Linked DNA regions of Nothobranchius furzeri. The protein of the gene in region 3 interacts with the protein of the main gene of each other region in a pairwise test. Links are inferred from orthologs where the notes say so. Each region holds a gene or a part of one and is shown on either strand. Other genes may lie near its edges.

Region 1 (3,500 bases), on a different chromosome or scaffold from region 3:
CTTACCCATGGTTGCGGTTTTGAGTAATTAAGGCTGGGAGAGTTTAAAAGTCTCAGGAATCTTTTGCAGGTGTTTAGAGTTAATTAGTTGATTCAGATCAGTGTTTCCCTTACATAGGCGTAGCCGTGGCGGGCCGCCACGGCTGAAATCCCAGCGCCACGCCTACAAGATCCCAAGTTTTATTGATTTTTTTTGCGCCGTTTCCCGAAGAAGCAGCGGGAACTACTCTGTTGTTTCTTGTGATCACAGCCAGCAGGCAGCCTGGAGGAGGAGGCAGGGCAGGGTGGTTACAGCTAGGGATGAGCCGGATACTCGTTTCAGACGAGTATCCGGTACGGATAAAGCATTTTTTACGAATACGAGCATGAAACGAGTAAAACTGGTAAATATCTGTAATCGTGCTGAAGGAAAATCCTCATCGGGTAACTGACTGTCTTCACGCTCTGTGATTGGCCAGTCACATAGAGCGCCCGCCCCTCCCTACACACAAAACTGTAGCCGGGAGCTCAGTCCGTCTGGCCCATCCACGCACACACGCACGCACGCACGCACACACACACACACACACACACACACACGCACACACACACACACACACACACAATAACGGATCTCTCTGTGCTTGCTTCACTGTTGCTCACGTTTCTTCAGAACTCCCTAGGTTTTCTTCAGCTCGCCTCTTTTTCGGTTGAATATATAAAGTTACTTTTTTCGTAACGTACGTGGTGCATTTGACAAGACAGAGCTGAAAACGGCTCGTGCAGGCGTCGGTCACTGCCTCCGCTCTGGTCGTTTTTTTTTTATTATTTTAACTCTCTCTCTCCCTCTCTCTATCTCTCACACACACACCTTAATCAACATTGTTTTGTTTAACTGTGTGTGGGGAAAAATGCCAACAACGTTAGGAAAAATCAGTTTAATCAAATGAAAATAAAATGGTTCTAGTATTTCATATTTCCTAGTTCCTACTGCATGAGTTCAGATGCATTAATTCATGCACTTAAATATTAATGTTCTGATCTTACTGAACAACTTGTTCTGTAATAGTTTCTTTACTATTGTGATCAAAACTATTTAATCTCAGTTCTGAGGCTGCTCTGTAAATAGTTTTCTAATAAACACACATAGCAACTTCTGATCGATCCATATCAATTTCAGACTTAAAATAATGTATTGATGTAAACCACGCCCACTAATTTCCTAATAATAAATAAGAGGTGCATTCATCTGTGTACGTATTCACCTTTAATACCAGTTATTAAAATGCAGCAGTTGCTGGATTGGTGCAGTTCAGAGTGGAGTGCATCAAATAAAACAATATTAACATAAAGATGAGACGTGTCATAATTTCACCACCACCACCACAACAGCTGGAAAAATTCCTAGGGGAAACACTGCAGATGATTAGGTTAATAGCTCGTTTAGAGAACCTTTTCATGATATGCTAATTTATTTAGATAGGAATGTTGGGTTTTCATGAGCTGTACGCCAAAATCATCAATATTAGAAACAATAAAAGGCTTGAACTACTTCAGTTGTGTGTAATGAATCTAATATATATGAAAGTCTCATGTTTATCAGTACATTACAGTCAATAATGAACTTTGTCACAATATGCTAATTTTTTGAGAAGGACCTGTAAGAACTGTGGTCTTTGGGCAGTCCGATGTTGGTTTTATGCAGTTTCACATTCTTTACAAAACAAAGATAATATGGTGTTACTACAGTGATAAAGAAAACATTTAGGTGGTAACAAACAAGAATTAATTAACAAAACTGCTGATGTCTTTCCAAAACTAAGTGTGAAAGCCGAGTGGGTTTGCCAGATTGTGACATCATCAGCAGGTGCAGGACCCCGAGCCGATCTGGTAGCGACACAGGGTCAAGCACGTTTTCTGATGGAAATCCTGTATATTTATAATTAATGTAAAATAATTTAAATTCCATCTAGGGGTGGCCCAAATCCTATCATCCACAGTATTACCAGTAATTATTTCTTCTCCAGAGAATAAAAATCTATCATGTGAAGCTAAATTCGTGATGCAACTGTGGTGTGACTAGTTATTAGGGCAAACATGGCTGAAACCTGACGGTATTGACTCATATCAGCGATCATTTTGTAATGACTCAGACTCTCTTGTGGCTGTTTTATGGGTATTATTTTCAGACTACTGTCACCATAACCCACGCCTTACAAACTCTTAACTTTTCCCACAGACTCGCTCATAACAGAGCATTTACGAGCCTAACAAAGTGGCAAAAACAGGAACCGGAACAACCACTCCCACCCGCTGAACTCACCTTCAAAATAAAACGTTAACCCTAGTGCAGGGGTGCCCAACCCTGGTCCTGGAGGGCCGGTATCCAGCAGGTTTTGTGGTTTTTCTGGTCCAACAGACTTGATTCAGTGGCTGAAACACCTGTGCAGCAGCTCATCAGGCTCTGCAGAAGCCTGTTAATTAGCTGCTGATTGAAATCAGGTGTGTTGAAACAGAATTCAAACTAAAACATGCAGGATACCGGCCCTCCAGGACCAGGATTGGGCACCCCTGCCCTAGTGTTAACTGTTCTAATCGTTACAACAGGTTTGAGGTCATTTGGCCACTCTGGCTCAGCGTAGATGCGTCCTGATTACACGGGGGAGAGGTTTGCTCACCTCTCCGCACTTGCAGGATAAACAGAGCTCCGTTGACCGCCACGGTGGAAAGGCTCGCTGAAACGCGAACAGACATCCCCAAATACTTAAAACCCAGGATGCCAAATGCTAAGTTTAGGGCAAAACATTGACCCAGAGGTTTTCTGACTGAGCAAACTTGTGAGAATACATGTAATGACCGCTTTGAGACGGAGCAACCTAGTCGCTAGCATAGCGGCTAGCCGAGTTACATGATATAAATTTGTTTAAAATGATAGAGATATTTTAAAAAATATTGCCATATTGCATGATGTATAAGTGAAAATAAGTAACTGCACCTGTATGATGTTGTCACCAGCTTCAATTACAATGGTCTCCATCTGCTCTGGGGATGGGGAGGCAGCCTGAGCAGGAGCAGGTGGCAGAGGCTCAGAAGGCAGGACCACCTTCTTCTTCCTCCCTCGTCGAGCCTTTCCAGGTGTGGAGGGGGCAGTGGCAGTCTCTGTGACCACTGGAGTCCCGCCCACCTCTCCGGTCGCCACATTGAGGGGAAGTGCGAGTCCACTAGGGAACTGAACCACATTTGCAGCTGTGTTATTTGGCTTCTGTACCTTAGGGGAAGGTTTGATGGCAACAGTTTTCTGCGGAGTGACCGGCGCAGTGGCTGCAGAGGGGGCTGGAACGGTCACCGGAGAGGTGATGATGGCCTGGTTGGTGCCTGGTATGAGCTGGATCTGGCCTCCTTGTGGCATCACCTGGATCTGTGGAACCACCTGGTACTGAATGTTGGCAGAGCCAGAGGTGTTGCTGCGGGCAGGACCCTGCTGGATGGTAAGGACTATGGGGCTGCCAGGGGATGTGGATC
Region 2 (2,891 bases), about 8.1 Mb from region 3:
GAGTCTTTGGTAGTTATGCACAGCCAGGAGGCAGCATGTCAAGAAAACGAAAAGTGGATATAAGAGACTTCTTTCAAAGTCTAGACGTAAGTTGGAACATGTGACACCCCTGCATTAAGCTCAGACTCACCTCCTCCTTCACAAACATACTCAAAACTAACTTTTACAAACTCATCTCCTCCACATAACTGACTCCTCAGACACAATTTATTCGTATTATTATTATTATTATTATTATTATTATCATAATTATTATTATCATAATTATTATTACTAGTAGTAGTAGTAGTAGAAGTGTAACTTCAAAACTTTTATCATTTAACTTTATTGTAAACTTATCTATTGCAATGTATATTTTCACATTAAAAAGCTCTGAAAAATGAACAGTATTATCATCGTCAACAGATTTTTTTAAGCTTAATGTCAAAGATGTACACTTTTCATTAGATTTATCTTATTTTTTCCATTTATTTTTTGTGTGTTGAAATGCAACAACTGTTTAAACACGTTTAAGGGAAAAAACATATTTAATATGTTTTTATACACTCAAATTGGTAATGAATAATTTACACATTATATTAATAATAATTGTGAATCATACTAGAACCATCCTGTAAATATTTCTGTTTGTTCCATTCCAAAATCTCCCACTGTTTATAGTTCATGCATCTTTTTTTCAGGTGACTGACAGAGATGCAGGAGGAGAGACCGGTGAAGGTACAGCAGGAGAGGCTGGAGGAGATGGAGGACGAGAGCCTGGAGGAGATGGAGCAGAGGCTGGAGGCTCACAGGTGAGGTTGAAATAATGAAGATACGATAGACATAAAATTGATCATTGTGACAAATGTTAGGGTGATGATCATGTGTAAAACATTAGTTCAGCATGTCCTCTAACACAGCAAATGAACAAACGGCCAGATCTCAGGAGGGACCGTTTATGTATAAATACTTTTTATACTTTTGACTAGGCCTGGGAAAGTAACAAATTTTGCTGGATGATATTTTGTCCAAAAAAATTGTTGATGATAAACGATATCATTGTCAACATTATCTAGACCAAAATAACCACTAATATAATGTTAATATATCATAATAATGCAAGTACACCCTTTAAAATGCAACAAATAAACCTTCATTTAACATTGAAATGTCCAGAACCAGAACTTCTAAATGAATAAAAATAACAAACAAAAATTAAATAAAAAAAAGAATCTCACTCCCTGTTAGAAAATGTTGCACCAAAAACAATAAAAAAAGACCCAAAACAATAAATACAATGGCCTATCCATTGTCAACAGCCAAAACTGCACTTCAATAATGATAATAAATATTAATGATAATAGAGTTGTACATTTTTTAACTTTGATATATATATATATATATATATATATATATATATATATATATATATATTGAGGATGGAAAAATTATTGAGATGGGCATGTGACGTGTCAAAGGGTCTTTACATAACACCCCCACCCCAAATCCGCACAAGCCGGGTGTGTCCCCCCCACTTCTGAAATCAAAATTTCGTCCCTGCCAATGTGGCTGGACATGAATGTAAAAAACAACAATATTGACTTAAATACTCAGAAGTGCCTAGTGAAACATAAAGAGGTATATACCATGTTCTCCATGCAGATGCTGATTTCTCCATCGCTGTAAAAAGCACCATAGAAGCCCACTATGTATGGAGAGTTACACTCATGTAGAACCTGCAGCTCCCGAATGATCTGGTTCCTGATGGCTGGTTTAATCTCCAGATGGATCAGCTGGAACACATCAGACCTCCATGCGTTATTCATACACACTAAAATCCTTTGAGCATTGTGTTGCATTGGTTCAAATGTTTAAGCCAAGTGTGGGTAAGTGTATCACAACTAGCACATTTAGTTTGCATATTTACTCTTAAAAAAGGAGCACTTTGATTCCAATCTTACAAACGTAACATGTTTGGGTTTTCATCTGACCAACTCTGGTAACCTATCCTTTCATGTAGCGATGCATTTGTACTATGGATGTTCGGTATTGGCTTTTTTATTGATAACCGATATAGCCTGACTCTTAATTTCTGATACGATTTAAACCAATACCAATATATGCTGCAGCCTCCCTCATAAAAAATAAAGAGAAACTAAATCATTTTAGGTAACTAACGTCCCATCGCCAATCAGCCAGACTTAAAATGCAAACATCTGTGCAAAATTCGACAACTACTTCAATCTGAATTAGACAATTAGCTCCCTTGAGAGAGTTTGGGTTAGAGAAGAGTTTGAGGTACGATAAGTGCATGATAAATGTGTCATTAATGAGTAAAAATCAATATCAATAAAGTTACATTTTAAAGCTTCTTTCCAGAGTATTTCTCTCGGGGCGATGGTGGCACAGGAGTTAAGTGCTCGCCCCGTAATCGGAAGGTTGCAGGTTCAAGCCCCGCTCAGTCTGTCGCTGTCGTTGTGTCCTTGGGCAAGACAGTTAACCCAGCTTGCCTGCTGGTGGTGGTCGGAGGGACCGGTGGCACCAGTGTTCGGCAGCCTCGCCTCTGTCAGTGTGCCCCAGGGCAGCTGTGGTTACATCATAGCTCATCACCACCAGTGTGTGAAGGTGTGTGTGAATGGGTGAATGACTGATTGTGTTATAAAGTGCCTTGGGGGGTTCCAAGACTCTAGAAGGCGCTATATCAAATACAGGCCATTTACCATTTATCCGATGGCGCCATCTAATGGCTAAAAAGCGTATCACACAAAACCGCTGTTCCTCTGTTTTTTAAGATGGCGACTTCACGTTTCTGTTTATAAATGTGCATCAAGGCCGACAGAGATAAAACACGTTGTTTTATGAGTATTTTTCTCATGACATGTTGTTTTTTCATATATTTATATTTTAGAGAC
Region 3 (4,073 bases):
GTTGATGTTGCTTAATTTTCTCTTCTTCTTCTGGGTTCTTTCTTCAGCATCTTCGTGATTGCCCAGCATGTCTGGCATGAACGAGACATAGAGACACCCTCAAACCGACACACCAACACACTTCTTGCTGATTTCAGTTGCTGTCCAGGCATGTATTATTCATGCTGTAATCAGCAGGAGATCCGAGTTGGAGCTGAATCCCAATTCCATATAAAAGGCTGGTGCATAAATCTGTGCAGCAAACAATCGGCAGAGAGTAAAACAGACCCAAAACCTAATTTAGAATCAACTTTTATTTGATTTTGGCTGATAAAATGTTGTTTTCTAATGCTGCGTTCAAGAATATAACTATCTGATGAAAAAAAAGGTAAGTAAAAAACGTCAATATTGATTAATTCACTGTAAAAATGTAACATAACAAGAAATCCTACCAGAGTGGTTGTTGTGATCAAAATCTTCCACTGTTATTTGAACAATTTCATCCAACTCTTGCCCAGACATTGTTCACAGCTGGCATGAAAAGAAGAGAATATTTATTATATAACACATTCCTGTATAGTTGATAACCTATGCAAAGTTTTGATACGCCTGCTGCCGTAGAATTACCATTTGCTCACTTTTCGTTGAAAAATTGGAATACACTAAAGCTCTTAAAGTGGTACTTTACTCACATACAATACATAATCTGCAGTGGTCTCAAGTAGGAACGAATGCCTTGTAAGGTGCACTCTGGGGAAACAAAGCTCCGGTGTGCCTAATTCAGAAACTAGAAGTTAGCCAGATCAAAGTTGAGCTGAACACAGAACGATTTGGTCTCTTATTTCCTGACATTTGGACATCTGTTTGGCTAACAGCAAAGAGACTCTACCACTGGTAGAGACTCTACCATTTGCTTTACATTCTTGATGTTTTATCTCTGCAAATAACACAAGAATAGAGGAGTTCTGCAATGTGGTGGAGTTGCTAATACTAACAGTTAGCTTCTACAAGCCGAGACATTCTCTGCTTTTTCCTGGATGGGAAAATGACAACAGCCTTCCCCATCGTGAGTCAAAATGGGTGAGTCCAAGAATGTGAAGTCACAGTATGATGTAGATCTGTCAGGATTTTTTAATCCTAGCATTTCACTGTCTATCAAAAGCTATTGCAGGAAACAGGTGTACAAGACTATTTTCATGTTCAGCCTGCATCAAAAACTCAAAGTGACCGATTATAATCAGATATAATCATTTTTAAATGTTTTTTCATTGAAGTACCACTTTAACATAACTGCATATAAAAGTCTGGGTGACCAAAAAACTTGTATCACGCCTGAAGGCAAAGCTGTTCACGCTATCAGTACCGTTGATTGGTTTGAGAGCAGAAAAAATAAGTTTTAGTGACATTAACAGCAGAACCATCTGAGGACAAAATGAAAAAAAAAAAGCCTTTAGCCATAAAAGACAGCGGTGGTGCAGAAATATGAGTGTGTGAGGGAGGGTGTGACAAATAGTGGGAGATCTTGTGATATTGCTTGAGCTTGCCCATAATGTTATTTTCAATACTGGACCAAAACAGATACAACTCCCAACAGCCCCCTCTAAAAAAGAGGACTTTAAATGAAATTCTCTCATGAATGATGGAATCCTTCAAGGAATGCTAATCTTTTAATTTTCTGGAGATTTGTATATTCTATCTGTCCTTTAAAGTTAATTTTTCATGTCATTTCTATTAAAGGCCAGTTTTCTAAATGATTATGAACATCTCCACAATAGGGCACCAATAATAATAATATTCTATTCTGAGATATCACTTTCTAAAATTGAGCAAATTCATTAATAGTGGTAAAAATATTACAATTTCTTAATCTGTCTACTATTTTGAATAATTTGTAAAAAAAATTATGTGTTTATTTCCTATATTTAGCTAGGACCTCCATGCAACTGCTGCATGAGCAAAACTGTGGAAACGTGTATCAAAGTATCAATAAATCCTTTATATAAACTGCATAAATTTGTACTTCCTTTTACTCTTCCATATTTTTTATTTTAGAGGAACACATCTCATGGTTTCTGTAGAGAATTAATCCATAAAACAGGCATACTCGAACATCATGTAAACAATAAACTGAGTGGGATTTTGTGATGCAGTGCTGGGCCTGCAAGCTGCAAACGTCTTGCTGATGGTTGAGCTAGTTATTGCCAATCTCCTCAGTTTAACATCCTTGCCCATTAATATATTTTTTAACTGACTAATCTTATTTCGAGAGTTGCTTGCAACGTTTATACTGCAACCTGCAATCATTAGCTTCCATTTAGAGGTCGGGAGGCTCTACATGCAGCAGAAATACCACTTATTTTGCAACAATTTTGTGTGTCATAACTAATTTTGTTGCACCTGCATTTTGTTCAACTTTGCATTTGGATTTGCAAGCTGAAAATTGTTAGATAGCTGGTGGCTAATGTTAGCTGCAGCTACACAACATCCGATTTGTGAGCTTGCTTGCCAGCGATAAAGCTAGATGCGCGAAATGAGACGCTATTTAAGCTAGCTTAGTAGTTAGCATGCTAGTTAGGCCTTGTGGCTGCTTGATAGCAGACGAAGATTTGTTGAGTTGAATACAGCAAATAAAGATCATTTTGATTAAGCCTCTTCTTCCTTTGCTCTCACGCAACAACATGCACCGTGTAAGATTGGGTTATATTACCGTGTGAATGACGAATTCTCGTGTTGTTTGTGGGGATTCCGATAACGGCGTCGTTCCTCGCGAGAGAAAAGGCTGCGTCCGCTCCGCTCCTCTGTTCCTGGATCTGGCCAGGGTATATCATGGCTGCCTGTAGAGGGCGCTCAAAACCAACTGAGAGGCTGAAAACGAAGTCTAGTTATATTTTTAAAGGATCCGTTATGTGTTTTGAAAGGTTTTTTATGCAATGAAAATCAAATACTATAATTAGAATGTATCCCTGCACATGTAAACATAAGAAACTTTAGTATTTATCCTGTTTTTAATCAGAAAATTGGGCTGCATTTCATATTTCGGGCAAGTGGCGCAATAGATATGTTGGATCAGAAGATTCCAGGTTCGACTCCTGGCTGGCTCGAATTGCTTTTTCAGTTTCAAACTCTTCAACTTAACTACTTTCAATAGTATTTATTTAATTTAACAAATATATTTTTTCATCAAACTGACAGACCGCTTGACATGTGACATCACACTGCCAAGTCCCTACAAAAATTGCTGGCCACCCCAGGGAAGACAAGTGTTTTTTTCAAAAGTCAAATTAATGTTCACACAAACCATAAATTTATCTTAATGAAGACGTACAGGTGAATCTCGAAAAATTAGAATATGGTGTAAAAGTCCATTTATGTTGGTTATTCAGCTCACACTAAGAGACCATCTAAAGGGTCAGGAATCCTTTGTAGGTGTTTTGGATTCATTAGCTGAGAGTGTGACACTTTGATTCTTATTGAACCTTTTCAAAACATTCTAATTTGTCTGAGATTTTGAATTTAGTTTTAATAAGCTGTAAGGCATAATCATCACAATAATAAAGACTTTAAATATGTGACTTTGCTGTTAATGAGTCCATTTCATATATTAGTTTCACCTTTTAAATTGAATTACTGGAATAAATTAACTTTTATATCATGATCTAATTTTTCAAGTTTCACCTGTACACGTAAAACCCGGCAACTCTGAAGTTGCAAGTGTGACATTCTGGACACATTAAGCTTGTAAACAGTCCTTTTAGCACATACTGGCTCAGGAAAATGATTTTAAAATATTCAAAGTTGCATAGTATCCCTGTAACACCCTCAGCTTCAAGATCTAACTTTTCGATCATCTGCACAAAGACGTCTTAGACGATCAAAAATTGTAATACCTACATCCCTAGGTTTAAATTTTTTTACTTAAATCGTGGAGATACAGGACTGGATAGCAGCTGCAGAAGCTCATTTTGCCTTCCAGCATTTTGCCCAGATGTAAACAACAACATTCACGAGGTCTATAGATCTTTACTGGCTGGTACAAGTGAAAATAGAATCCTTTAAAATGTTTGGACCAGCACCCAGTGGAATATTACAGGAGG
Region 4 (4,099 bases), on a different chromosome or scaffold from region 3:
CCACACAGAAAGAAACTCAATTCTGTCACAGTCAGAGGCTGTGGACAGCTTGTGGTGAAATGTTCCCTCACTGGCATTCCTTACAGTCTGAGGAGTATTTATGACTTTTATATGTACGTGTGCCATTCTGCTGCATTAAAATCATCCCATAGAGAAGAATTAACTAAATATAGCAGGGATATTTTGGGGAGTTCCAACTTGAAGCCAAAAAAAGCAGAAAATCTACACTGAAAAACACATTTTTAATGATAATTTCTGATCATAATCAGTCACTCTGCGTTTTTCGTGCAGGCTGAACATGAAAAAAGTCTCCAACACCTATGTCCTGCATTAGCTTTGATAGAAAATAGATGGTGAAACCTCTTTAACAACATTTTTACAAGATTTGAAAAGCCTGACAGATCTACGTCACACTGTCACTTAACATTCATGGACTCACCATCTTGACTCAACACAGGGAAGGCTGTTGTGGGTTTAGCGTCCAGGAAACAGCAGAGAACATCTCAGCTAGCAGAAGCTAACTTTTAGCATTAGCAACGCCACCACATAGCAGAACTCCTCCAGGTTAGAGTTTTTTGTGGAGCTAAAACATCTATGTCGCAGAGCAAACCGAGTTAGTGTGGTAGAGTTGTGTTGCTGTTATCCAATCAGAGGCGAGATGTCCGAATATCAATAAGTAAGGCTCCAAATCCTGTCATGTTAAGCCGTCCTCTAATGTGGCATTCTGCTAGTTCCTGAAATAAGCACATCTGAGCTTGCCCACACCCCCAAATGAAAATGTATTGATTAAACGAGCTGCGTTTCATGGGTTTCCCCCAGAAAACTTGCTAGGCCTGGCGGACTGTGAATGCAGGGGTGGGTGGGGAGGTGCATTCAGATCATTCCGCCACCGAGCGTCGTCTGTGACTGCGGGTGGGGGGTAGACGCTTGGCCTGGTGGGGGCCTAAGCACGCTTAAAAAGAGCTGAGGGAAACCCTGAACGAGTGTTCAACACCTGTAAGAAAATTCACAGTGTTCAAGTGAGCTTCAGCACTTATTCTTTTTTGAGACACACAAATTGGAAATATTTTTGAGAAGTCTAAAGATTTCACTGATAGGTTTGCATTTATTTTGAGGAAAAATAATTGTTTGTTTTAAAAATATTGAAAGTTTTGATTTCAGAAGTCAAATCTTTACTCAAAACAAACATATTTCTAAAGAAAATAATAAATTGTTAGGGGTGTGTATTAGCAAGAATCTTGCTAAACTCCATATATCAAGATGCAGGACAGACCACTAGATAATTTGCGGTACAAAAAAAAAAAAACAGATATTTGCAATTTTTAGGGCAGAATTTAACTGCAAAACTCAGGCTAGACGCTTCCAAGACACACGCCCGGTGTTATTGCGAGATCTCATTGTTCCGTCGGAATGAAGGCGGTAAAAATTGCTGCCACCTACAGGCAGAGTTTGAATAGCACCACACAAAAGAAATACAGTAAATGTTTTTATGTAAATTCTCAATAAAAATTGACACACTGCTTTAAAATATGGATTCAGTATCATAACAAAAAGTATCTTGATATTTCAGTGCAATGATATTTAAAATATTGCAAAAACTGTCACAGATATGCTCTACAAATGTACCTAACCTATACCCCTCATCCTTTCTGGTAATTCAGGACTCTGTCCACAAATTTAGCTACAACTAAACGGAAATATTTAGGCTACTCTTCTGTTTCTGCCAGTGAAAACCCATAACAAGCAGCCACGGCTGGGAGGTTTCCTGACAGGCTGATATGAATTGCCACTCTGTGGTAGAGCTGATGGGCAGAGATGTGGGAAGGTGACAGATCTCTTTAGAGAGGAAGTCAAGCACACAAAGTGAAACACAGGTGGTCGGTAGGATACTGTAGCCTCACATCCTGTAGATTTCACAGCAGCTGCAGACACACCTCTGCTTCTTCCAGCAGTAGGAGCCAGCTGGTCAGCCCGCATGCTCCTTCTGTTTGCTTTAGAAAAGAACACTGAAGGGTATCTGATAAGTGTTCGTGCATGGCTCTGCGTCCTCAAACAAACTGCTCACAGAAATTATGAAACTCAGAAGACCATAATGTTTCAGAGGAGGATGAAAAAATAGATGATTCCAACTCTCCAATATTACAACACATTATGATGTTCTTTTCATCAGTTACAAGGCCAAAACATAATTATAGTAACAGTTTTTGAACAAAAAACCAGAAAGCCTGAACTAAGCTAATTGTTGTTTGTCGGTAAATAAGTTTATTAAATGTTTTAATTAACTAAAAAATTAATAAAATAAAACCCAAAGGAACAATAACATTTTAAATTCCAAGCACTAAAATATTATCGGGGGAAATTGTTTTATTAACTAAACCAATAACTGTCATGCTCTTTTAAATATTTCTCCCCCAAATAGACGTTCAGGACAACCAGGTCCTATATCTAATTAAATTGATCGCGTGAAAAATGGTCGAGGCATAAACAAACCATGAATTTTAGGCTACTATCTGATAGCACAGTTTAGTTGTTGACTGAAGGTCGGAGGCATTTTTTCCGTGAATGCAACTAACTGCAAGTCAATAACAACCATTTTTACTTGTCTAAAAAAAACATTACTGATAATTTAAGGTCACGAAATCATCAAAGGCACAATAAAACTGTGGATTAAACTAAAAACGATTACTTACTTCAAGCTCAAGGTTCTCACAGGCGACACATGCTAGCTAAAGGAGGAAATATTCCAGTCGATGGTAAGCTTCATCAACAAGCGACAGAGCTCTCGGAGAGTGGGTTTGTTTCTTTGTACGGGTTGCACCGAGTGGGTGGAGTTACGCGTTGATACTGATAGTTGGTCGTTGAAAGTTCATAAGGTAGATGCCAGACTACAAACCGACTGCTTTCAACAGACTCCTCAAACGTTACAAAAATATCATCATCATCCTGCGCCTTTGTTGACAGGTGGTAGCAAATTGGATGTTTTTCATTTGAGCTAACGAATCCAGCCAGTTATTTCATAGGAATATCGTTCTCTAAAATGATTACACATACGTTTTGACGTATTTAATAATCCCGAAAGTGGGATTAGTTGCAGCACTGAGTCGCACAAGTCGCCGTTGAAGAGGTTTGAAAAAACGAGGTAATTTAGTGAAGCTAAATGCTAATGCTACTTTGACACACGGGTTGTTTTAATTGTTTTGATGTAATTATTCCACGTTAAAAGATGTTTCGATCTCACGCGGTTTTGTTCATTCAACAAATTACGAATGACGCCTGTAAGTTTACTGAGTTGTAAAGATTGAGTTTTTCTTAACGGGGTCATCCCAGTCCTAGTGAAACTAAAGAAAACCTGCTGAATGTGTTCATAACTTATAAATAAGGGGGCTGGAGCACTCAGGCGAGTAAGTAGTTATTAGATGCAGACAAAGACTAATCTTTCGACCCCATGTGTGTCTTCGTCAGGTGCATGGTGTCGAAATGTCAGTTTTTATTTGCGTCACACCTGAGTGCTCCAGGTAGCTGTAGAGCACCAGACGCCTAGTGTGGCTTATTCTACTGTTTTTATAACTTTTTATTTCCCAAATAACTGAATTCGTGTAAAACTAACTTAAAGTGAACAATAGAAATTAGACTTGTTTGTAATTCGACAAACGTATTCATTTATAAAACATGTATTAATCAAGCAAGAATTTATTTATTTATTCATACATATCATTATGTTTATGTGGAATATCAATTTTCTTATGTTATGCTAAGCGTTTTCTTTTTAGTGAAAGCAGAACATCAATCACACACACACACACACACACACACACACACACACACACACACACACACACACACACACACACACACAGATATATATATATATAACTTTGTATATATACACACAGTTATAGTGCACATCTTTTGGAAAAGTTGTATAGTAACAATAAATTAAAATACATTTTTGAAAGGATGTCTTGAAAACTTTCCTCCAGTCTTTTTGACTGTTGACTGATCACTCTCGTTACAGATTTAGACCTACATGAATCACCAATGTAGTCACACATACATGTGAATACATAATGCCAGTCTATTCTGCATTAACATGAGGCAG
Region 5 (3,500 bases), on a different chromosome or scaffold from region 3:
TCTCTGTGGTCTAAGACTGAATGGTTACAGCAGAACTCCATCACTGTGCTCATGAAGCGACGATCTGTGGAAACGAACTCAGAGCTGTGAGGGAAACATGTTTGCTGATGATGTCGTACGCCCCCCCTTCAGCAATCCCTGGAGAGACAGAGGACAGCAGAGAAGGAGAGGCTCTTCCTGGTTTATGCCAAGCAGTGGTGGAGAGAGTTCCTGGAGATCCGACCTTCTCACCAGTCCAAACTGGTGAAGATCTTTGCTCAGGTCAGCTATTGTTGCTGAGTTCTGCCTCCCTCTTTAGCACTTCACATGCAAGTGACCACTTCCTCTGAGGTCTACTGGCTCTCTTACAGTGTGTGACGTGGTTTTGGGAGGAGAAATTCTCACACTTCAGCCTTAAATGTAATCTCTGAGCATTCCCTGATTTGTGGGGGGTGTCTGCACGCTTGACAGGATGAGAACGGAGTCAACAGACCAGTGTGTTCGTACGTGCGTGTCCTTCGTGCCGGCCGCCTCCTGGAGAGTCCTCGACAGGCCGCCCGCTTCGTCAGCCTGCTGGCTCACCAGAGGCCTCCAGTGGTGGGAGGGGGGGCCAAGCAGGAGCAGTGGTGCACATTACTGGCGTTCCTGTGCCGGGGGAAGGTACGTGCCTGGCGCTTCCTTTTGTTTCAGGACCGAGAAACACGTTTAGAGAATTCTCTCAACATCCACCTCGTAACAAAAGAGGTTGTCACAAACAGACATCACAGCAGATCCCAGCGACAAGAAACGAGTCCAAGGTGGTCATCGGTGTTTATACCAAGTCCTGTAGGGGGGTTAGGGCTATCAGTGAGCTGGTGGTGTTGGACGGTACTTTTTTCATTTAAAGGTGGACGACATGTAAAAGCCATGCGAACAGGCTTCATTTTGAAAAGTAACAGTTTTAAGGTCCAACCTTCTGTCTACAAGCCCTCGCTCTATAGTCATAGGAAGTGGTGTAACACCTGGTGCAGCGGATACGGTCAGAAACATGACGTTCTCTTAGGTCTTTTGTTGGTTCGTTCTGTCTTTGGTATGTTCTTGCTGTGTTGCTTTTCTAACGGCGTTGTTGGTTCTCTTTTAAAACACAGAAAAGGTTTCTTTTTACCTTGCTGCTGACAGTTTCGTTCGCGGCTGCAAACTTCCTCAGAGCTGACGCTGATGGTGGCGTCACTTCCTACTCCGTTTATCCGCGGTTCGTTCTGCGTTTCACTTCATAATCCATTACAGTTTAGTAAAAAAGAGTTTTTCACCTGACATCAATCAATCAATCAATCAAAGCTTTATTTGTAAAGCGCCTTCCTCAACCCTGTCAGGAAGCCCAAGGCGCTGAACATGGTACAGTAGAAGTACAAATATAGTGAATAAATCAAAAATAATAGCAATTCAGAAATAAAAGCAATTCAAATTACAAAATACAAATGACATGTTTCGACTGATGCCTCGAGCCATCATCAGAGATCGCTGGTGCTTCCGTTTGTCCGCGGGCTGCAGAGGACGGTGTTGAAGTCGTGTTTACCTGACCTGTAGTTTTCCACCTTTTAATAGAACGCTGTGGGTTTGGGGCTGTAGCTGCATCGCTTCCCTGCAGAGTTCTTATAGAAAACTTGTATTACCTCCTACATGCAGGGTGAGTGTGCTGCACTGAAAACTAACTAGCTTCCTCCTCTCAGAAATGTGGCCCGGCTGCCCTCGCATGACCCTAACTTCTGAGCAGGGCAGTGTTGTTCCTGAGGTCATCTTGCCTTGATGGTGGGGAGTTTCCCAGACCACCACAGGATAAATGTTCAGTTCCTCTTCTCTGTGAGAGGCCGGCGAGACAGACGCAGCACAATTCTGGCAAAGTGGTCCTTGTCAGTGGTGATTTATGAGTTTCATTCCAGGGAAAATTAATTTAGCCCATCAGTCGCCCACCTGTTCTGGTGCTGCCGTCCACATTAGCACTTCTGTGGAACATCTATCATCTAGCAGTCCCGGTTCAGCCGAGGCCTCTTCACTAGAAGGCTCGTTCAGCTGAAATGAGAGTAGTTAGGGTTATGTCTTCTTCTGCAGACTCGTCGCATATGAGAAAGCCCGAGAGTGCACCAAAAAGACTCATTCAGTTTTAAAACATCACAGGTGCTGCTGTTCCCCAGTTTGGATAAGAAAGATTTGCTGGCAATACAAGATTTGTGGTCAGTCGATCAAAACATAACCTAAGATCTCCCCAAGGTTACTTAGGATGATGCACAAACAGCTTAGGATCTGACAGAAGTAACTTAGGGTATCGTAAAAGGTGACTTTCCTCGTCCTGTGTGCTTTGTCCTTCCAGGGAGACTGTGAGGACCATGCTGCTCTCCTGTGCAGCCTCCTGCTGGGCTTTGGTCTAGATGCATACATGTGTGTGGGCACCAAAGCCAAAGGTGTTTCACACGCCTGGGTCCTGACCCGTGGAACCGACGGGACCATCACCTTCTGGGAAAGTCTGACGGCACATAGGTGCATTTTTAACGTTTGTCTTTGACATTTCAGAGAAAACCTAATTAGTCCACAGTGGTCCTTTGTTTTAGTGTGTGTGTGTGTGTGTGTGTGTGTGTGTGTGTGTGTGTGTGTGTGTGTGTGTGTGTGTGTGTGTGTGTGTGTGTGTGTGTGTGTGTGTGTGTGTGTGTGTGTGTGTGTGTGTGTGTGTGTGTGTGTGTGTGTGTGTGTGTGTGTGTGTGTGAGAGAGAAGGAGAGAGTGAGGGTGTGTCTGTGTGTGTACGTAAGTGTGTATGTACATGTGTTTGCGTTTTGTGTGTGTGTGTGTGAGAGAGAGAGAAGGAGAGAGTGAGGGTGTGTGTGTGTGTGTGTGTACGTAAGTGTGTATGTACATGTGTTTGCGTTTTGTGTGTGTGTGTGTGAGAGAGAGAGAAGGAGAGAGTGAGGGTGTGTGTGTGTGTGTACGTAAGTGTGTATGTACATGTGTTTGCGTTTTGTTTATCTGTGTGTGTGTGTGTGTGTGTGTGAGAGAAATAAACAGGATTAACTCAGAGTCTTATGATGAAATTTCCCTGAAACCAGCAGCCAGGCTTTGGCCCACAGGACATTTATTTCCTGTTTGCGTGATCAGATATCTGCACCGAGCCGTTGATCCAGACGCACCTCCCCTGGCCCTCCAACCCAAGCCTTCTTCCCCGTACCGGACCGTGGGCTGTGTCTTCAACCACCAGAGCTTCCTGGCAAACTGCCAGCCCTCTGATGCCGTAGAGCTCTGCGTCTTTGACTTCCAGGTCAGAACGCATTTTACCACAAACATCGGTTGTTCTGGCTTTTTGTTACTGTTTTAATTTGCTTTTCTTAACATTTAATGTTCCATTTAGACCCAGGGCCACTTTTGGCCCGCCTCTCATTCGATCTCTCCTGCAAACTAAGATAATAATGAATTTATCTTAAAACAGCCTTTAGCTTTTAGACCAACTAGCAAAACTATTAGCTCTGCAGGTCGGTCTAGCCACGCTCCATTGTAG
Region 6 (3,500 bases), on a different chromosome or scaffold from region 3:
GCAACACAAGTCTTAATACTTCAGCTGAAAGCCAGAAAACAACTTAAGGCATCAAATCCTACACAAAATCATATAACTAGTTTAAATTTTAACCTTAGCCACGTGGTGCATCAAATGACTGCAGCAACACGGGATCGATACAGATCAAGGCTCAGAATTTAACTAGTTTGTACAGAGTCCACTAATAGGAAGTTTGTGCTAAGTTAATTAGCAACCAGATACTTTATTTCTCCATTTGGCAGATTTAAAAGTCCACAGCAGTCGGATAAATCTTCAGATCAGTGGGCTTTTTAAACACTCCTCAGAGCTGTGTTCATGAGCTGTTGTGATAAATTGTTTCCTTTTGAGCTGCAGCACCAGGGCAAAAAGAAAAAACATGACACCAGAATCCCCTTTTTGTCTTCCTCATAGTGCTGTGAGACCGAAGTCAAGGCATCCATCAACACTGGCAGCATACATAACCACATCTCCGTGTCCTGCTGCCAGAGGCTCGGGTAAGAAATGCCGTCTCTTCACAGCAAACACCCCACGGTTGCTGTATATTGATAAATAATATTTGGGATGTAGAGACAAACCAACTACACATAAAGAATGAGCTCAGATCAAATAGTTTATACCTAAAAAAGATAAATAAATCCAAGAAAAGAAGTTCAAAGATGTTTTCTAACAGCATGTTGGCTGCCAAGAGCAGTTTGTGAAGTATGTCTTAATCTTGCAAAGAAAGAAAAAATAAAAGCTTTTGTTTTACATGTATGGATCTCAACTGGATTAAGAATCTTTGAAATATAAATTATGAATTCTAAAATCAACACAGCTTTATGGCGATCACTAAAATCAGCTAAAACCAACCTTTTCATCCTGGCTGCTGTATTTTTGGTAGTGGTGGTTTACAAAAATGTTGTTGCTGTTTATCAGGACTAAAATCAGTTAATAGGGTTCTCTGATCAGAATCACCGAGTCCCTAAATGTTCATGTACAGATCCGAGCATTGTAGATGAAGGCCGTCTCTGCAGGCCTTTTCACGCATTCAGATTTTCTGGCAGCATCCTTGCTAGACGCATAACAAGCCCGCACAGCTGTCAGCTCAGACAAAAGTTGGAACGATCATCTCTTCCCAGGATTGGCCTCACTACAGTCAAGGGTGTTCCCTGCTTTGCAACAGGTTCACATCAGCATGACATGCTTGTAGCTTTTACTCTATTTTTCCAACAAAATCTGTTTCTGGAAGGCAGCTACCCAAATATTGAAACCACAGAAAGTTGTGCAAGTGTGACTGTGTGATTTGTGTGTTGTTAGACTGGTGCCCAGTGAGGACAGTTCTCCATGTGGAGTTAACAGCTCAGTGACGGGTTTGCAGCTGCAGCTGGGCAGACAGACGGCCCGATGTTCAGCATATGTGAAAGGTAAGAATATCAGTTAGAAAACTAACTGCATCTGGAAGACTCAAATTCTTAAAGACTAAAGTAACTATGTTAACTTCTCTGGATGGAAGGCTGCACTTTGGTGTAGTGGTGCCTTGAGCTAAAGTGCTATCCTTAGCTAACAGGTTCCAACAAATTTACATGACCGTTACAGAATATATTTAGCATGTTAGCATCACAGCCATCCTATATGTAGATGACTCATGGGCTGACACTGCCTATTGGAGCTGGCGTAGCGGCTAGCCGCTGTCTTGGAGCATTTATTTCTACAGACGAATGTGCTTACCCAACTAAAAAAACACATATTTTAATGCTTTTTCACAAAATCAGACATATGATATGGCATGACAGTTAAAGTATATTTAAATAAAATAAATATAAATCCCAACAGGTATGTTAGAAAAGTTAACAGTAATCCCACATGATCTGTTCTCAACAGTACACCGGTTTTTGCAACAGTAGGCTGCACATAATGGGCACAGTTGCTTACCCTGCATTGACTCCAATTGGGTTTGGACAGTGAGGAGACCCAACCAATATGGCGGTGACGCTGTTACGCTTTCCAGTACCTAATGGGCTTTCTACGTATTCGTGTCTATAGTTAGCATACCAACGTTTTCTACTCAATACTAAACACATCTATATTTATTACTTAGATCTGAGTAAATGTACATCATCATGAAGGTTGTCCTAAATGATTATTACTCATTATGCACTCACGTATTAATCAACAGAACACCACTGGTGTGTGAGGTTATCCACTCAATAATATCAGACAAGAAGAAACAGCCAGCTTTAGGACAAACTACCAGAGTCCCAAAACAAAAACCACCATTTAAAGTCACGGAGAACTAAAGACGTTTAGACCTAGAAAACGGCGACTGGTGTTTAGCGCCATCTTGTTTCCTCTGGCATTGTGGGGTTCTGGTTCTGGCAGAAGTATCCCAGGGAAGATCCTAGAGGGGAGGGGGTGAGTGCTGCGTGACCTTGTTTGCGTTCAAAGCCAAGTTTGTCTGCAGATTCGCTTTAGCTGCTTTAACTGTATGCCTGGTGTAATATTACATGCCCAAAGGGGTTTCCAACTTGGTTCTCATGTGTTCTTGTCAAAGGTAGAATAAAAAAGAAACATCTGCATCAGTTGTGTTACAGAAAATCCAAAATGAGCCATACTGTGACAATGGAAAAATCTAGATTATGATAAACTGTGGACCCACCACCCGCAGGAGGAACATGAAGGGTCCGGTGCAGTGTGGATCGGGTGGCAGCCCGAGGCGGGAGCCTTGGCGGTCCAATCCCCGGACAAGGAAACTGGTTTTTGGGACATGGAACGTCACCTCGCTGGCGGGGAAGGAGCAGGAGCTTGTGGCAGAGGTTGAGCGGTACCGGCTAGATATAGTCGGACTCACCTCGACACATGGCTATAGCTAAGTTTACATGTGCCAAATTTCCTCAATCCAATTGAAATCTTGGTTGATCGGAATTTCCGAATCTCTGTTCACATGGACACGAAATGAAATGATCCGATCATGCCGTGCGTACATACGCACCAAGCATTTAATCCGAATAAATAGGTTGAGCATGCGCAGAGTTGCCTTTCCCGAAAGAGAAATTGTAAACAAACGCCATGAAACGAAATGAAAAGTGTAAAAACAGAAATAACTATTCTTCCTGCTTTCCTGATCCATTTATTCAATTTAATGTTTTTATTTAGCTCATAGAAGTTACGTTTTCTTCAGTGAATAACTGCAGATATATGCTTTGCTGCATTTTATTGTTGATTAAAATAAGGGAGGGTTATGTTTCTGCCTCTTGATCAGCTGGTCCGCGGGTCTGAAGTGACAGCTGCGGCACAGAGCGGGGTGGGGGGTGGGGGTGGTGGGGTGGGGGGGTTAGACTCATGTTTTATTACTGAGCTCTGTTGTGGCTTATTATTAATAACATGTGACAATCAGCTGAAACTGTTGGGAAAAATCTGTTCAAACAAAATAACAGAAGATGTTCAGAAAGTTTGAAGCCTGTGTTCATCATTAACGAACCGCATCTCAGGTCATCTGCGTTTACGTGCGTTTAACACGGACT
Region 7 (4,184 bases), on a different chromosome or scaffold from region 3:
GTTTTTTTCCCTCTCACATACATTATAATTATTTGTATTAGTGATGATATTGTGTTTGCGTGTCCACAGATCACACTCTTCCACAACTGTCGGCCAGCGCTGAAGACGTTTCGGTCCACCACCTCCACCTTCTTTTTCCTGGTGGTGCTTCTGTTTGGCTGGACGTTGGCCCTGGTTGTTATGATTTACAGCCTTGCTGTGTGAGTGCTGACTGCTGCAGATTTATCCTTAATATTTCCAACAAAACAGCGTTTTAGAAAGTCAGAACAGTCAGGGCATCACTAAACACTTTAAGAAGGATTCTTTCCACCTCTCCAAACAGGATCAACCCTTCGATGGCGTGTGGGCCTTTCCGCTTCTTCCCCTCCATGTGGAAGATTGTTCCAAACTCTTTCTACTGTCTCTCTAAAGTTACACAGGATTTTCTCTTCTTCATTGGCTCACAGGCATTTTCCATACCTCTTTTTGCTTTATCATGGTGAGTGTGCATTTGTGAAATATTTATTATTTATTAGATTTAATCTACAGATTATCACAGTGCCTTTTTTCCTCTCTGCCAGCGTGATTATGTGCTATTTTGTAGCATTAGCTTCCATCTATGGAAAAAGTGTTGAGATGCTCAAAGCTCAGCTTAAGTTGGTATGTTGTTCCTACTTACAAAGATCAAGGATCATTTGTATAATATCCTCAGTGGTAGCTAATATTGTCCAATGTCATGTCTTTGATTTTCAGGAGGGTCAAGATAAGCAGTTTTTGGTCAAACAGATTGAAAGACTAAAGCTGCAACATCTGATGCCAGCACTAAGAGCAGAAGTACAAGACTGAACACAACCGATGACCACGTTTAGTTTTTCTGACCTAAATAATGAAGTAACTAATATGTCTTCTGGGGGGGAGAAATCTCATTAATCCAGACTAGATCTCATTTGACAATTACTATATTCATTTACAGCGTTTCTGTTGTGAAGCTGAAACAATAAGAGAATTTGTTATTTAAAGTCAGTATAATTTTGATTGTTGTTCTAAACATTAGTGTTGAATTAATAAACATGCACAGAATTTATTTATGATTTTGAGAGGCTATTTTTCTTTTGTATAAAACAACCTCGGGTGCAGAATCACCAAAAATGCTAACAAGAAAGAGCATGCATTTCACAAAATGCTACATTCCAAAGCCAACATATACTTTACCTTTTTGTCCTTTCATAATGAGTACATTGTTTTTGACATCTTTTGGTTATAGCAAAAAATATATATATTTGGGACATACCGGTAAATATTTTTGTGGCACCTGTACAAATACCAGTAGAGTTTCAGCGCCCCCTGGTGTTACATATTGTAATTACATAACACGATTATTGTTTACTTCCTGTTTAACTCTACTACTTCCTGTGAGCGCAACAAACCAGAAGCTACTCCTCCGTTAGCTCGTCATTGATAGCATTTATTATATTTTAGGAAAGTAGTCAACTTAAATAGATAATGTGAGTGAGTAAGGTCCACGTTATTTTCTTCTGCGTCATCACAAAACATTGGCAAGTACTAGCGACCTTCCCTATTTAGCTTAATTTCCTAAAAAGAAAGAAAACAGCGACGCATATTTGATTGTTGGGCGTATTTGAAAAATTCTGCTTCTGTATTTAGACATTTTGTCGAATAACCTGCTTATTTCTACTATACACCAATATATTAACTGACCAGAGTGAGTGTTTTCTCTTGTCGTTAGCTTTCTAAGCTAGCTGACTGCTAATTGTCGGTCACCAAGGCAACCATGAACATCCTCCCGAAGAAGAGTTGGCACGTCCGCAACAAGGACAACATTGCGCGCGTGCGGAGGGATGAAGCCCAGGCAGCAGAAGAGGAGCGCGAGGCCAAGCGTCGCGTGGAGCGAGCAGAGCAAGAGGTAGTCCCCCTCTGGTGTTAGCATGGTCATTCATTAGTCTTCACTCTCTCTCTTTCTTAACATTTTTTTTGAATCACAATTGTCTATTTTTGCTCATTTTAAATATATTTTTAAACATTTTCTAAATGCTTTTTTATTTTTTTACATTTTTGTTTTTGTGAAGTGCCTCGTGATTTTTATCTTTAGAGGCACTATAGAAATTATATTTTCTTCTTCTTCTTAATAAGCGATATAAGTATCATTACTACTGTGGAAAATGTATTTGAGTGCAACACAACTGTAACGCATAGAAAAACCACAAATCAGCCGAATGTACAGGGTACCTGGCACTTTAATTGAAATATTTAAGAAATTAGTTCTGGAAAAATGATCAAAAGTAAACAAAAGAGTTTCACAGATTTTAATCCTGACCATTTAAAACTAAATAAATACAGAAATAAATGTCTTTTGGGGAGAAAGACAAAAGAACCAGTCACACGAAGGTCAGGTGGATGTTTGGAGTTTGGAAAAGTGTAGAAATGTTAAGGTTATAGATGTTAAACAATCTGAATGCCACATGTAGATTAAAACCGCAGCAATGATTTCAGTAATAAGAAAAACTGAAAACATTCTGAGCTTCGTCACGTTCTCTCTCCTCGTTGATTCTATCTAAACCGCTGCGTGCACATATGAGGCAAGAGCACTTTATCATGAGTAACTTTATTACAATAAAGAGCCACAACAATAGTACCACTGTCAAATGTCCCAGACGATACACATAATTCAAAGTTGTATAATTTAGCAAATAATCTGCTTTACACAGTGCTATTTAGGATTTAGTTGCTTTCAGCTTGTTGCAAAAGCTCAGTTAGGTCCTATGTCTTCAGCTGCATTTGCTTACAATCCAAAATAACTATTTATTATTTATATCTTTAGTTTATTCTAACAGCTTTTTGTTTCTACAGGCGCGTACAGAGTATCTGAGAAGGAAATCTCGAGCTGCTCTTCAGTCAGAAGGAGGAAGCAGAGATGATGATGATGAAAAGGAAGGTGGAGGAGGCTTGGAGCACCTCAACCTCTTCCCTTTGGAGGAGTCTTCAGAGAAGAAGGGGAACGAGGAGTATCTTAAAGAAAAGAAAGAGGAAAAGGTGACAGAAAAACCTTAATACATGTGTGGATTATTTATTTTTTGGGGTTTTATATTTGCTTCAGTAACACCTTTTCCAGGGTATCCGCGGGTCCTTAAAAAGTCTTAAATTAGCTTTTCCAAATTTAAGGCCTTAAAAATCCTTAAAAATGACAAATAATCCTTAAATACAGTTTCCAGAGGTCTTAAATTACCAAAGACCCAATAAACAAGATTCTTTTATTTCTATAAAATTTTCATGAATTTCTAGTTAGCGTTCAGCATTTTTGTGTACGATGTTGCCGTAAGCGGAACCGTACACGTTCAGTTGGTTGTGAAAGGGGGCTATTTTTAGATGAGCACGTTAGCTGGTTAAGCTAGTGGGAGCTTGCGCCATGGGGAAGGGCAAGTTTAATGGTAACTGGATGGCTAATCCCATGATCGCGGCGTGGTTAGCACCGGTTCCAGGCAATAGCTGGAAATTATAGCTTAAATGATAAATGACCCGCACTTGTATAGCGCCTGTCAGAGGAAGGACTCCAAAGCGCTTTACACCACAGTGTATCATTGATCCATTCACACACACATTCACACACTGGTGGTGATGAGCTACGATGTAGAGGCGAGGCTGCCGAGCACAGGCGCCACCGGTCCCTCCGACCACCACCAGCAGGCAAGGTGGGTTAAGAGTCTTGCCCAAGGACACAACAGCAGAATTCTCTGTCCGGAGCCAGGATCGAACCTGCAACCTTCCGATTACTGGACAACCCGCTCAACCTGTTGAGCTACCGCTGCCTTGCTTAAATAGCTTAAATTTGGTCAAAGTGGCCTTAAAAAAGGTCTTAAAAAGTCTTAAATTTGTCTCCCTTAAACCTGCAGATACCCTGTTTTCAAAAACCCCTTTGTTTAAATATAATCTGCATCTTCTCATCCAGGAGAAGCAGGAACGCGCCATCGGCCTACTGGTGTCTTTAGGACCCCAGCCAGGCTCTGAGGTGACTCCGTGGTACCTGAAGAGCAGCAAAGACAAAGAAAGTCAAGAGAAAGACAAAAAGAAGGGAATAAGTGAAGAGGAGAAAGAGAAGAAGGATCGGAGGCTGAAGAGTAGTTTGGATCCCCTGAACGAAATGAAGAAAGCTCTAGACGTGTTTGAACGAAAAGTACCTAAAAACAGGA

Evidence for each region.
Region 1: the proteins of banp (region 3) and sp2 interact in binary tests that used the Homo sapiens proteins (3 or more experiments, as listed by UniProt). The two-hybrid records come from large-scale screens. The link is inferred for Nothobranchius furzeri from reciprocal best matches to the Homo sapiens genes BANP and SP2.
Region 2: the proteins of banp (region 3) and map2k1 interact in binary tests that used the Homo sapiens proteins (3 or more experiments, as listed by UniProt). The two-hybrid records come from large-scale screens. The link is inferred for Nothobranchius furzeri from reciprocal best matches to the Homo sapiens genes BANP and MAP2K1.
Region 4: the proteins of banp (region 3) and mrrf interact in binary tests that used the Homo sapiens proteins (3 or more experiments, as listed by UniProt). The two-hybrid records come from large-scale screens. The link is inferred for Nothobranchius furzeri from reciprocal best matches to the Homo sapiens genes BANP and MRRF.
Region 5: the proteins of banp (region 3) and cep76 interact in binary tests that used the Homo sapiens proteins (3 or more experiments, as listed by UniProt). The two-hybrid records come from large-scale screens. The link is inferred for Nothobranchius furzeri from reciprocal best matches to the Homo sapiens genes BANP and CEP76.
Region 6: the proteins of banp (region 3) and nrip2 interact in binary tests that used the Homo sapiens proteins (3 or more experiments, as listed by UniProt). The two-hybrid records come from large-scale screens. The link is inferred for Nothobranchius furzeri from reciprocal best matches to the Homo sapiens genes BANP and NRIP2.
Region 7: the proteins of banp (region 3) and leng1 interact in binary tests that used the Homo sapiens proteins (3 or more experiments, as listed by UniProt). The two-hybrid records come from large-scale screens. The link is inferred for Nothobranchius furzeri from reciprocal best matches to the Homo sapiens genes BANP and LENG1.

What each region holds. Positions count from the first base shown.
Region 1 is NC_091747.1:67,530,149-67,533,648, reverse strand, and holds part of sp2 (transcription factor Sp2), read right to left. Parts: coding exon 2,974-3,500; intron 1-2,973. UniProt on the Homo sapiens protein: Binds to GC box promoters elements and selectively activates mRNA synthesis from genes that contain functional recognition sites.
Region 2 is NC_091744.1:66,078,917-66,081,807, forward strand, and holds part of map2k1 (dual specificity mitogen-activated protein kinase kinase 1), read right to left. Parts: intron 1,773-2,891; coding exon 1,626-1,772; intron 1-1,625. UniProt on the Homo sapiens protein: Dual specificity protein kinase which acts as an essential component of the MAP kinase signal transduction pathway.
Region 3 is NC_091744.1:74,163,874-74,167,946, forward strand, and holds the start of banp (protein BANP), read right to left. Parts: upstream 2,801-4,073; 5' UTR 2,687-2,800; intron 755-2,686; exon of another isoform or gene 672-754; intron 511-671; 5' UTR 502-510; coding exon 432-501; intron 72-431; coding exon 1-71. UniProt on the Homo sapiens protein: Controls V(D)J recombination during T-cell development by repressing T-cell receptor (TCR) beta enhancer function. Binds to scaffold/matrix attachment region beta (S/MARbeta), an ATC-rich DNA sequence located upstream of the TCR beta enhancer.
Region 4 is NC_091746.1:50,179,166-50,183,264, forward strand, and holds the start of mrrf (ribosome-recycling factor, mitochondrial), read right to left. Parts: upstream 2,801-4,099; 5' UTR 2,691-2,800; intron 1-2,690. UniProt on the Homo sapiens protein: Responsible for the disassembly of ribosomes from messenger RNA at the termination of mitochondrial protein biosynthesis. Acts in collaboration with GFM2. Promotes mitochondrial ribosome recycling by dissolution of intersubunit contacts.
Region 5 is NC_091745.1:49,058,745-49,062,244, forward strand, and holds part of cep76 (centrosomal protein of 76 kDa), read left to right. Parts: intron 1-132; coding exon 133-261; intron 262-450; coding exon 451-639; intron 640-2,326; coding exon 2,327-2,493; intron 2,494-3,103; coding exon 3,104-3,263; intron 3,264-3,500. UniProt on the Homo sapiens protein: Centrosomal protein involved in regulation of centriole duplication. Required to limit centriole duplication to once per cell cycle by preventing centriole reduplication.
Region 6 is NC_091741.1:39,325,507-39,329,006, forward strand, and holds part of nrip2 (nuclear receptor-interacting protein 2), read left to right. Parts: intron 1-411; coding exon 412-494; intron 495-1,296; coding exon 1,297-1,403; intron 1,404-3,500. UniProt on the Homo sapiens protein: Down-regulates transcriptional activation by nuclear receptors such as NR1F2.
Region 7 is NC_091745.1:76,666,511-76,670,694, reverse strand, and holds the start of leng1 (leukocyte receptor cluster member 1), read left to right. Parts: upstream 1-1,384; 5' UTR 1,385-1,535; intron 1,536-1,726; 5' UTR 1,727-1,771; coding exon 1,772-1,903; intron 1,904-2,847; coding exon 2,848-3,030; intron 3,031-3,943; coding exon 3,944-4,184. Other genes in the region: voltage-gated chloride channel TMC4, read left to right, coding at 70-200, 323-478, 561-639, 733-825.